Linked DNA regions of Nothobranchius furzeri. The protein of the gene in region 2 purifies or fractionates together with the protein of the main gene of each other region. This does not show direct contact. Links are inferred from orthologs where the notes say so. Each region holds a gene or a part of one and is shown on either strand. Other genes may lie near its edges.

Region 1 (4,741 bases), on a different chromosome or scaffold from region 2:
GGTTCTACTTTTTCTGCAAGCTGCTTCTGGGATGCGTCAATTACTGCAGGTAAGATAGGGCTATACAGGAAATCAAACACGGTTTCGGTGTAAAACCCCCAGTAATTTTATAAATGAAAAGTATTTCAGCGATGTCATTTCATAAATATGAAGCTTACGTGTGACCCAACGGCTTATTTCCTCCCTGCATCGTTCGAGACGTACAACGGTGTGTTTTTCATGGCTTTAATCCTGGCAGTGGAGAGGAACATCATATGACATCAAACAGCGATATAAAACATGATTTGTTGTTGCTGGTTGGTTTCTGGTTAACCGGCTATTAACCGCTGAGGGGCGTCAATAACCAGTTAAAGAAATTTTGGAGAATGTGCATCCCCAGGTGTGAGCAAGCGGGGTCAGCTCTGGATTGGATGGGGCATTTCCAGGACTACGTTTGAGGCCATTAAAATTGTTAATTTTTTGACAAAACATTTAATTGATCGGTTGCCAGTATTCGAAGAGCATTTCAAGCAATAAGGCAAAAAGTATTACAGAAAACAATCTCGGATGTATTCATTAAAGGAAAACATATTTTATCTAGTTTTTCTTAGCTAATGTTTATCAAAGGTTAACATTTTCATTCCAAGTGACCTTTGTTCAAATCACGCAGCTCCATAATTGTCCACAAGGTCATCGGTTTGCCCTTACCTTCAGCACCCCCTGTTCAAGAGCAAATGCTTACTCAAAGCTGTTTTCTTCAAAGATTTGTCCATGCATCTATCAGACACTGTAAACAAAAATGTTTCAGAGCCAACTAGTACAACTTGCTGCTCAATAGACCGCTTCCTGACAGAAACTCCTTCCAAAAGGGACACGAATATTTACAATTTGTGACGGACGATCAGCTAAACCACAACTGAAAGCGGAGAGACAGCAACTCACTCACATCCCTAAACACGTTCTGATTTGAATCAGTTTGGTGAGACATTTTTAAGTGAGTAGATAACAATCAAAGCATCTTCATTAGATCAAATTCGAAGACAATGGGAGGGCTGCAAGGACTAGTTGACATAATATAGGATACAAGAATTCATTGATACAGATTTTCCTTGTTAAGTGTTTCATATCAGAGCCTTCTAAAATCATGTGATTGTGCCCGATTTCCGATCATGTCATCGGATTGGAGCATAGTTTACATGGTGTTATCCTGTTTAGTTTGTGTGTTGTTTCATGCCGACTGCACCGTGCATAACTGGGTTATTATTGTTATTGTTAATGCTAATTAGTGCCTGTTAGTCTTCCTATTCAATGATAAATGAAGGAGTTTATGAGAATACACGCTACTGGATGTTATTTATAACACATTGTATTAGGTTACTTTGCTCCTTTCAGCCCTTCAACACCAACTAACCAAAAATTGAATTCAGATTGTACAAAGCAGAGCCTTGTTCCTACAGCAGCACCACTACCCTGCAGCTGTAAGGCTGCCCATACACTAGACTTAGAGTGAATTCATGTTACATTGACACTTTTTATTGTTGATGTTTGTACTGTAACTGTTATAACAAAGCCTCAACAAATGCTAATTAATCACAATTCTAGTTATTGGTCAGGGTTTGGCGTTATGATAAACAACATTTTGTGCCCTATAGTAGATAATAAACATCCTTTACCCACAGTATAGTTAGCTCTAGCTTCATTGGTTTGACTGCTAGTTAATTAATTTTGCTGTAAAAAAGTTATATGTCTCAAGGTGACAATCACAGACCTGAGCAGTCTGAGACTTGAACCAGAGCCCAGAACAGGAGGTAGGATTGCAATAATCATTCACCAATAAGAAAAAGATTTAAAATTTACCTCTCAGTCGACTATCATAATAATTATTAATTGCAGCCGTACTACTTACAGGGAGTTTTGCAAAGCATAATCTGAGCTTGAGTTATACTGCAACTGTTGTTTTTCTATTGTGCCATGTTTGTATAAGCCCCCCCCCCCCCCCCACACACACACACACACACACACACACACACACACACACACACACACACACACACACACGTCAAAACCGTGTTGTTGTGTTGAAGAGAGTTCTCAGCTGATCAACCTTGACAACGTTTTTAACAAAAACCAGAATGTCTGCTCTGTTCGCTTGTGTCAGCTCATGTAACACGACGCGTTTAGTTATAATAAATGTTAAAACCTTTAATGGGTTGAGAGGTATCCAGTGTTGTTGACGGAATACAAAGTTCGGTAAACACGAGCAACTAAACGATATAAAAGAACAGAAATGCCCCATAGATAGCGGTCATGTATAAACTAATGGTCATAACACACAACTGATATATGAATATAATCTGGGTAAACATGAACTGCTAACTTTACTTCCCTACCGTGTTTGCTAGCATTAGGAGATGTATGAAACAATCTGTTAACAGGCTGAAGTGGTTTTGCACAAACATCTCATGAAACGAAATCTAAAAGATATTTAATAACTACTTATAACAACACAGTGACGTTACTCTGCACCAAAAGCTAACGCTTGCTAGCTAGAAGCTAACTCAGCTACGATGTTAAAATGGCTATTTTGGTTATATTTGTTTTGTTTTTTGTTTACCTTTATGCTAGCTGACTGTTCCTTTAGCTGCATGTGCAGTGGCCGAGGAGCCAGGTGAGTGTGTTTGCACAGATACGACTTGAAAGCGTATTTGTTTTTGTTACATAGCCGTGCAGTTTGTGTGAGCTTAGCCAAGTTAACGATAACCCTGCGCTAGTCTGCTAGCCGGAGGCGACACAACACCGGCTCGCGGAGTAACTTAGTTAGCAGCTCGGCTAATTGTCCGCCATCACGCAGAGCTAGTCAGTCAAACAGTTGGGTTGAATATGGAGGACGTGTTTCACAAACCGTCTTAAACCTGCCGTAAGCTGGTATGTTAAGGCTTGGGACGGAGAAGCAGCCGTGTTTACCTTGCTCGCTCTTGTGCGCTCCTCATGTAGTCAACGGTGCAGGAACGTTCGGGTCCTCGGTTCCCCACAGGCCCGGCAGTCCGCTACTGTTTTACTGCCATCTCTACACCGACGCTTCCGATGAGCTCAACACAGCGACAGACGCGCCACCCCAAATCCTGCTGCTCTCCTAAACCTGCAGCTCTCTCACTCGAATGTCGCTGCTGCTCAATAGGCACTCATACATAATTCATGTTAATGCACATCTAGTTCTGTGTGTGCAGGTATCTGATTTTTCTCTTTGGTTTTTCATTTTCACATCCCCGAAACACAATTTTTACTGTTTTACTTTCCAAATGTTTTGACTTTATGTTGTTTGACCTCTCTGCAAGTCATTTTTCTGGAGGTAAAACAGATGTTGCAATAATTCTGATGGTTAGGCATCATCAGGGCCAGAACAAGATTAGAATATACTGACTCAATGGAAGATCCAGGATTTTGAGGGGTCATCAAGGGACCAAAATGTTTATAAATTCAGTCAAACGTTTTTTATAAAACACATGCATGACAACACAATGTGCTTCACATTGTTTAAATTAAAACCATACATACATAAAATCAAGTAAAATAGAATAAACAAGTAGACAGGCCCCTAGATGTCACAGTCTCTGAGGTGAGAGGCTTCCTAAACTGCTCTTCTGACCTCTTGTTTACAGGTGGGTGGTCCTTCCCTGGTGAGGTTTTCCGGGCACGTCCAACTGGGAGGAGACCTAAAGGTAGACCCAGGACACGGTGGAGGGACTATGTCTCTCACCTGGCCAGGGAACGCCTTGGGATTCCCCCGGAGGAGCTGGCCCAAGTGGCTGGGGAGAGGGAAGTCATGGGCCTCTCGCCTTGGGCTACTGCCCCCGCGACCCGACTCCGGATAAGCAGATGAAAATGGATGGATGGATGGATACTAGTGTAGGAGTTCCTCTGCTCCAGGTGAGTGAGTACTGTGTGCAAGGTGAGGGATAGAGCATCCTCGGTGGAACGGTTTGAGCGGTAGGCAAGCTGATGTGGACCCAGTAGAGCAGGTAAACTGGATGTGATGAGTGGTTTGACTAACCATTCAAAACACTTCATGACTGTAGAGGTCAGTGCTACAGGACAGAAGTCATTTAGACAAGGCACAACAGACTTCTTAGCCACAGGAACGATGAAAGACGTCTTGAAGCAGGCTGGAACCTTAGACTGACAGAGAGAGATGTTAAAAAATCTGTCAGGACATCCACCAGCTTTTGCTGTTCGGGCCATCTGCTTTACTTGGGTTAATCTCCGCCAAGATATTCCTGGTGTTAGCTGGGCTGATGACCTCTGGGGACTGACCAGGTGGAGGGGGACATCTACTCTCCCCTCCTGGTGCCTTCCCCCTTACTTCGAATCGGGCAAAAAACTTGTTGGGTTTGTCCGGGAGAGAAGCATCACTGTCCTCGATTCCCTGCCTGTTTTTTTTACTGTGTCATTTGTTGAATCCCCTTCCACATTTGCCTGGTGTTCCCTGTACTGCAGATGTTCTCCTGGATTTTATCAGCATGCCTTCTCTTGGTTGCAGTGGCGGCGCCAGGGGGGGCGCTAGAGCTACCCCTGGATTAGTCATTGCACCCCCATAGCACCCCCAAGTAAATAGATTTTTTTTTACAATTTAATTTTAATTTAACGTGTGGATGTGATAATATTTAACATACAAAACAAAAATAATCAGTAAATTATATAGATTAGAGCCCTGCACGGGCCTAAAATCTGAGCCCGTGTCCAGCCCGGCCTGAGGGCCGTCGGG
Region 2 (4,970 bases):
CAGTCACTGGAGGATACGTCAAGAAATAAAGATGTGATTCTACTTGCCAATGCGTCACTCATCACCAAAACGATATTTGGTCTGGAAATATTTTGGCTGTCACAAAAAATTTGGAGGACGAAAATAAACACCAACATAAAGATGCTCATGTTTTCCTCGGAACTCCAACAGATATCTAAAAGTAAAGAAAAAAATTCCCAAACTGAGGCTTTTCACGGGTTTTACCCTAACGTGTTGTCTTTTTTCTTTTTTAAATAATTTATTTTTACTACCGCGCTGTCGGTGGGAGGTATTGTATTTACTTCCTGGTCATGATTTCAAAATAAAAGTATACTATAAAAAAAGGGGGGGTGGGGGGGTTGTTTCGTGTCCATGGGGACAAAGAATGAAACTGATATTTAGAAGGAACTGAAATAAAATAAAACTCAAACAAAATCCATCGTTCATTAACCAATTCATGCATAAAAGTATAGTACCACGAATTAATAAATTATAAACATTGCTAGAAGAGTGTCCCATCTTTTTAATTCAGCGGCAAAGTGGACACTAGAGGGCAGCATGCAACTAGGCATTAAACGTTTGTTTTTTTATTTATTTTTTTAATATTTTGCTGAGCTGGCACTGCAGTCATCCCACCTGTATCTATTGACATCCTAACGTTTAAGGTGCATGTCAATGTGTCCTTTGTATAGATAAAGTAAACAGCTTTCCAGATGTGTTTTATGTAATATGGGAAAAAAACATTAATGAATGCACTAAATGGCATTACATATGGTGTGTCAGGGAATCTATGAAGTTTATTGGATTTAATTGGAGGTAAATGGCATTTGTTAATACTAAATTATAAAATAAAAAATCCCCGTCAGGACAATAATGCCTGATTACCTTTCGGGCAGCATCCCCATACTGGCTGATTAAAAGTAAAGAACATTGGTATTGTTGCAGATCAACAGGTGATTCTGCTGCAGCCCATAGTGGGAACATTGGTTGCCACTAGGTGGCGTTTTGAGTCACGAGTTGTTTTTCTGAAAACTGGGAGCTCAACACAATGAGAAAGAGTCTTCTCAACATACACGGATCAGAATCAGTTAAATAACAATCAAAATGGGTCAGGTATATGAGTTACAACCACAGATGATCTGTTTTTAGTTTTATAATTAATATGCATGTTCTATACATCTACTCTGAACAGCCCTATGCCGTGTGCATCATGCAAAATGCAGCTCTTTGGATTTTACAATGACATTGCTCTGATTATGTAAAAGCGTTGTGTAAAGTGTTCACAATAAGCCTGCAGGCTGTGGCTCCAAAATAAAAACAAAATTCACACGTTTTGTGTGATTTTAAAAAATACTTACTCAAATATTGAGGTGGACTATGTACAGACTGGACTAAATCTTATTATTATATTGATAATTGATATTTTTAATGTTACAATTCGCCCCAAAAGCCTCACCCAGGACTATTGCAAATATTTCTTTATGCGGTGTTTCAGGTGCTTTTACCATACTTGCAGGGCGGCTGGATGAATGTGAGCTTTGCCTCACACTGCTCTGCCTGCCTTGTTCCAGAAGGCGAGAAGGTGGGGGCTGTGCAGCCACGCGCAGGCGCAGAAGGTTGTTTTTCACACAGCTTCTGGTTTAAAGTGAGCTGAGCTCCGGGGGTTTCCTTGTCTGTGACTGAGACCATCAAGGAGACAGGCAGATGATAACAGCATCCATTGCTGGTTATCAGCCTTCACAAAGCTCAATGAACTGCTCACAAAGAAGCCACTGATCGTGCCCGCTGCTTCTTGCAGGGCAGAGATACTGATCAGTGTCTCCAACCCCGTTTTTCTTATGAGATTATTTTTTCATTAACTCCTTTTTTTAGAGCTCGAGAAGATCTCTTTCCGCCATGGTGCTAGGAAAGGTAAAGAGCTTCATAGTGAGCTACGACTGTTTTAATGACAGCAACGTCCCCGTCTTCTCCAGCGGGGACTCCGTCTCAGGGAGGGTGATCGTCGAAGTCACCGGAGAAATCCGGGTGAAATCTCTCAAAATCCACGCAAAAGGAATAGCAAAAGTTCGTTGGACTGAGTCAAGAAACGCTGGATCCAACACTGCCTACACCCAGAACTACACAGAAGAAGTGGAATACCTGAACTACAAAGATATTTTAATTGGACATGAAAGAGGTAAGAAGTTTTGTAGAAATTGTGATGCTCCCCTGGTTGGGGATCAGGTTCGCTGAAAGATATAGAGTTGCAGGGCTCAATAACAGGATAATTGGTTCGATTAAAGACTAAATAAAGACCTGTCACTTTATTGCCTTATTTCAGACGAGATGTTCGGTGGGTATTTAGTTGTCTTTTAAAATCTCCATCGTTGCTTGTTTTTGTGGTCAGAATGAATGACAGCTGCTCACGTATCTTGTGTTTTTCATGGCATTTGAGGCGCATAGGGAGGATTTATCTCATTTAAATACATATTGGAATTGAGTTGATTCTGTATTTTATAGCTATGAAGCTTTGTTTAGAAATTTCATCGCTAAACAACGATGAAGTTTCCACCTATTGTTCAAAGCGGTTCAATCCTGTTCCGAAAACTGGTTTGCGAGGGGGCGGGGGGAAAGCCAGAGCGCACCCTGGCTCGTGTGTGATTGGTTAAGATGCTAGTGTGTGGCCAATGACATCATTCCCCTGCAGAGTGGCAGAAAAAACTGCAACTTTTTAATCAATGTAAAACACCTGCAGGACACGAAAATTGGTGGTTTTACTGTAAATTTTAAGGAATTGTGAGTTGCAACCAGGATGTGCTGGACATTTGAGATTTCTTTGCTCTTAATTTTTAATTAAAATCAAGAGTTTTTTTTTTCTTATACCAGTGAATGCAGTAAAGCTTTTATTTGCATGTATTCGGTTAGGTCTGTTAGCATGGATTATGTTAAGCTAACATGTCCGAGACGTGGTGATATTGTCGCTGAACGATTTAATATTTATTAGCGTTGGGAACACGTGTTTAAATAAGTGGGTAGCAGCTCCTTTAGTCTTACGGGACCACAGAGCTTGTCAGACGCATTTATGTATGTGGTTGTTGTGACTGCGGCGTCGCGGAGTGAATACGTAATGCCGAGGGAAGCTGCTCACACCGGTTTAGTCCGGTCTTCTCCTGCTGGAGTCTGTCTCTTGACTGACAGCTCCGCACTTGTTTACCACACGGCTTCTGCTAGGGGGAGGGTGTGCTGAGCTGGCAAGGGCTGCGCACACGTCCTTATCCGCCACATATTTACCTTTTCATGTAAAATGAGCAATATTAAATAAAAAATTCATAATTCCCCCCCCAAAATAAGTGAGAAGGCATCGCTTCGCTTTGCCCCATAAAATTACTTGTGCATTAGCATCACTCACGTTCAGTTTCTGATTTCTCCAAATTTTACTCTGCTGTTTTTTAAAATCTCAATACACTTAATTTCTAACAGACAAGATCAATTGTAAAACCCGTTTATTCTCTTTTTGTCTCCCCCACCCTGTGTTCTTTGATATGACTTACAGATGCCTTCGTAGAGCATTTTGTCCAGGTATGGTATACATGTGTTTGGAATATTGTCCTCCTTGTTTTTCAGACGATGACAACTCGGAGGAAGGACTCACTACAATCCATGCAGGAAGGCATGAGTATGCATTCAGCCTCGAGCTTCCACAGACGTAGGTGTCCCAATACGAAACTAGAATCAGAGAAAAAGTTATTTAGATTTGAGAACTTGACCGTTTTTCTCCTTTCTGCCCTTCTTTTACCGTCACCTGCAGACCTCTGGCTACCTCTTTTGAAGGAAAACATGGCAGTGTGCGCTACTGGGTGAAGGCAGAGCTCCACAGGCCATGGCTCCTGCCCATGAAGACTAAGAAGGAATTTACAGTCTTTGAGCACATTGACATCAACACTCCGTTATTGCTGGTAAGAAGTCATAGGAATGATGAAATGCATAGCTTTTATGTTTGTAAACTAAGAAAAAATGTTTATAAGATGTTTTTTCTCTACTTTTTCAGTCGCCTCAGGCCGGCACAGCAGACAAGACGCTTTGCTGTTGGTTCTGCACCTCAGGTCCAATTTCCCTAAGTGCCAAAATTGAAAGGAAGGGATACACCCCAGGTGAGGATAAGTGAATAAACGATAAGGTTGTTACTCATCTGTTTACCAGATGAGCCAATGGGATGATCACATTCTGCAGGATTCTCTACTTGTTACTGATTACTCATAATTAGGGTTCCTATCACTAGAGAAAAATATTAACTTCCATTATGTCTTATATTTGTGTAGGCGAGTCTATCCAGATATTTGCCGAGATCGAGAACTGCTCGTCCCGCGTGGTGGTGCCAAAGGCGGCCATCTACCAGACACAGACCTTCTATGCCAAAGGAAAGGTGAAGGAGGTCAAGCAACTGGTGGCCAACCTGCGGGGGGAGTCCTTGTCCTCTGGCAAAACGGAGACCTGGAATGGCAAAATGCTGAAGATCCCACCTGTGTCCCCCTCAATCCTGGACTGCAGCATCATCAGAGTGGAGTACTCCCTCATGGTGAGTTTGGTCTTTCTCTCACACACTCGATGAACATTTAGGTCAGGTGCCCGTTTTTGTTGTTTGTATTTGTTTTGAGACGACGGGCATACAAGGGTTTCTGCTTTCATCAGAATCAATATTTCCTTGTAAGCCAATATCCCGGTAAAGGTGCCTGGCTGACTCGGCTTGCATAACCAAATCTGGACCTGGGATTGTACCAGGTGTTATGTCCGCATGCTGCTAAGCGCATTAGCCCAGAATAATGGAGGCAACACCTGCCCTGAGGGTACTAATAACCTCTTTACCCTTCACATAGACAGATAACTGATTTGAACACACTGACCCACATGACCAGTTTACCTAAATATTGGTTTGCAGATTGGAATGCACAGCTCTGTAAACTCCCATTTTCAAGATCTAAATTGCTGTCATG

The links.
Region 1: the proteins of arrdc3a (region 2) and NEDD4-like E3 ubiquitin-protein ligase WWP1 purify together in Homo sapiens (affinity purification with mass spectrometry; 4 studies listed by BioGRID and IntAct, counting the BioPlex papers as one, with this or other methods). This does not show direct contact. The link is inferred for Nothobranchius furzeri from reciprocal best matches to the Homo sapiens genes ARRDC3 and WWP1.

The regions. Positions count from the first base shown.
Region 1 is NC_091747.1:36,690,133-36,694,873, forward strand, and holds the start of NEDD4-like E3 ubiquitin-protein ligase WWP1, read right to left. Parts: upstream 3,116-4,741; 5' UTR 2,944-3,115; intron 2,683-2,943; exon of another isoform or gene 2,594-2,682; intron 1-2,593. UniProt on the Homo sapiens protein: E3 ubiquitin-protein ligase which accepts ubiquitin from an E2 ubiquitin-conjugating enzyme in the form of a thioester and then directly transfers the ubiquitin to targeted substrates.
Region 2 is NC_091757.1:41,570,775-41,575,744, reverse strand, and holds the start of arrdc3a (arrestin domain-containing protein 3a), read left to right. Parts: upstream 1-1,685; 5' UTR 1,686-1,896; coding exon 1,897-2,176; intron 2,177-3,532; exon of another isoform or gene 3,533-3,560; coding exon of another isoform or gene 3,561-3,603; coding exon 3,604-3,685; intron 3,686-3,787; coding exon 3,788-3,935; intron 3,936-4,027; coding exon 4,028-4,130; intron 4,131-4,298; coding exon 4,299-4,555; intron 4,556-4,970. Other genes in the region: arsk (arylsulfatase K), read right to left, coding at 48-149. UniProt on the Homo sapiens protein: Adapter protein that plays a role in regulating cell-surface expression of adrenergic receptors and probably also other G protein-coupled receptors.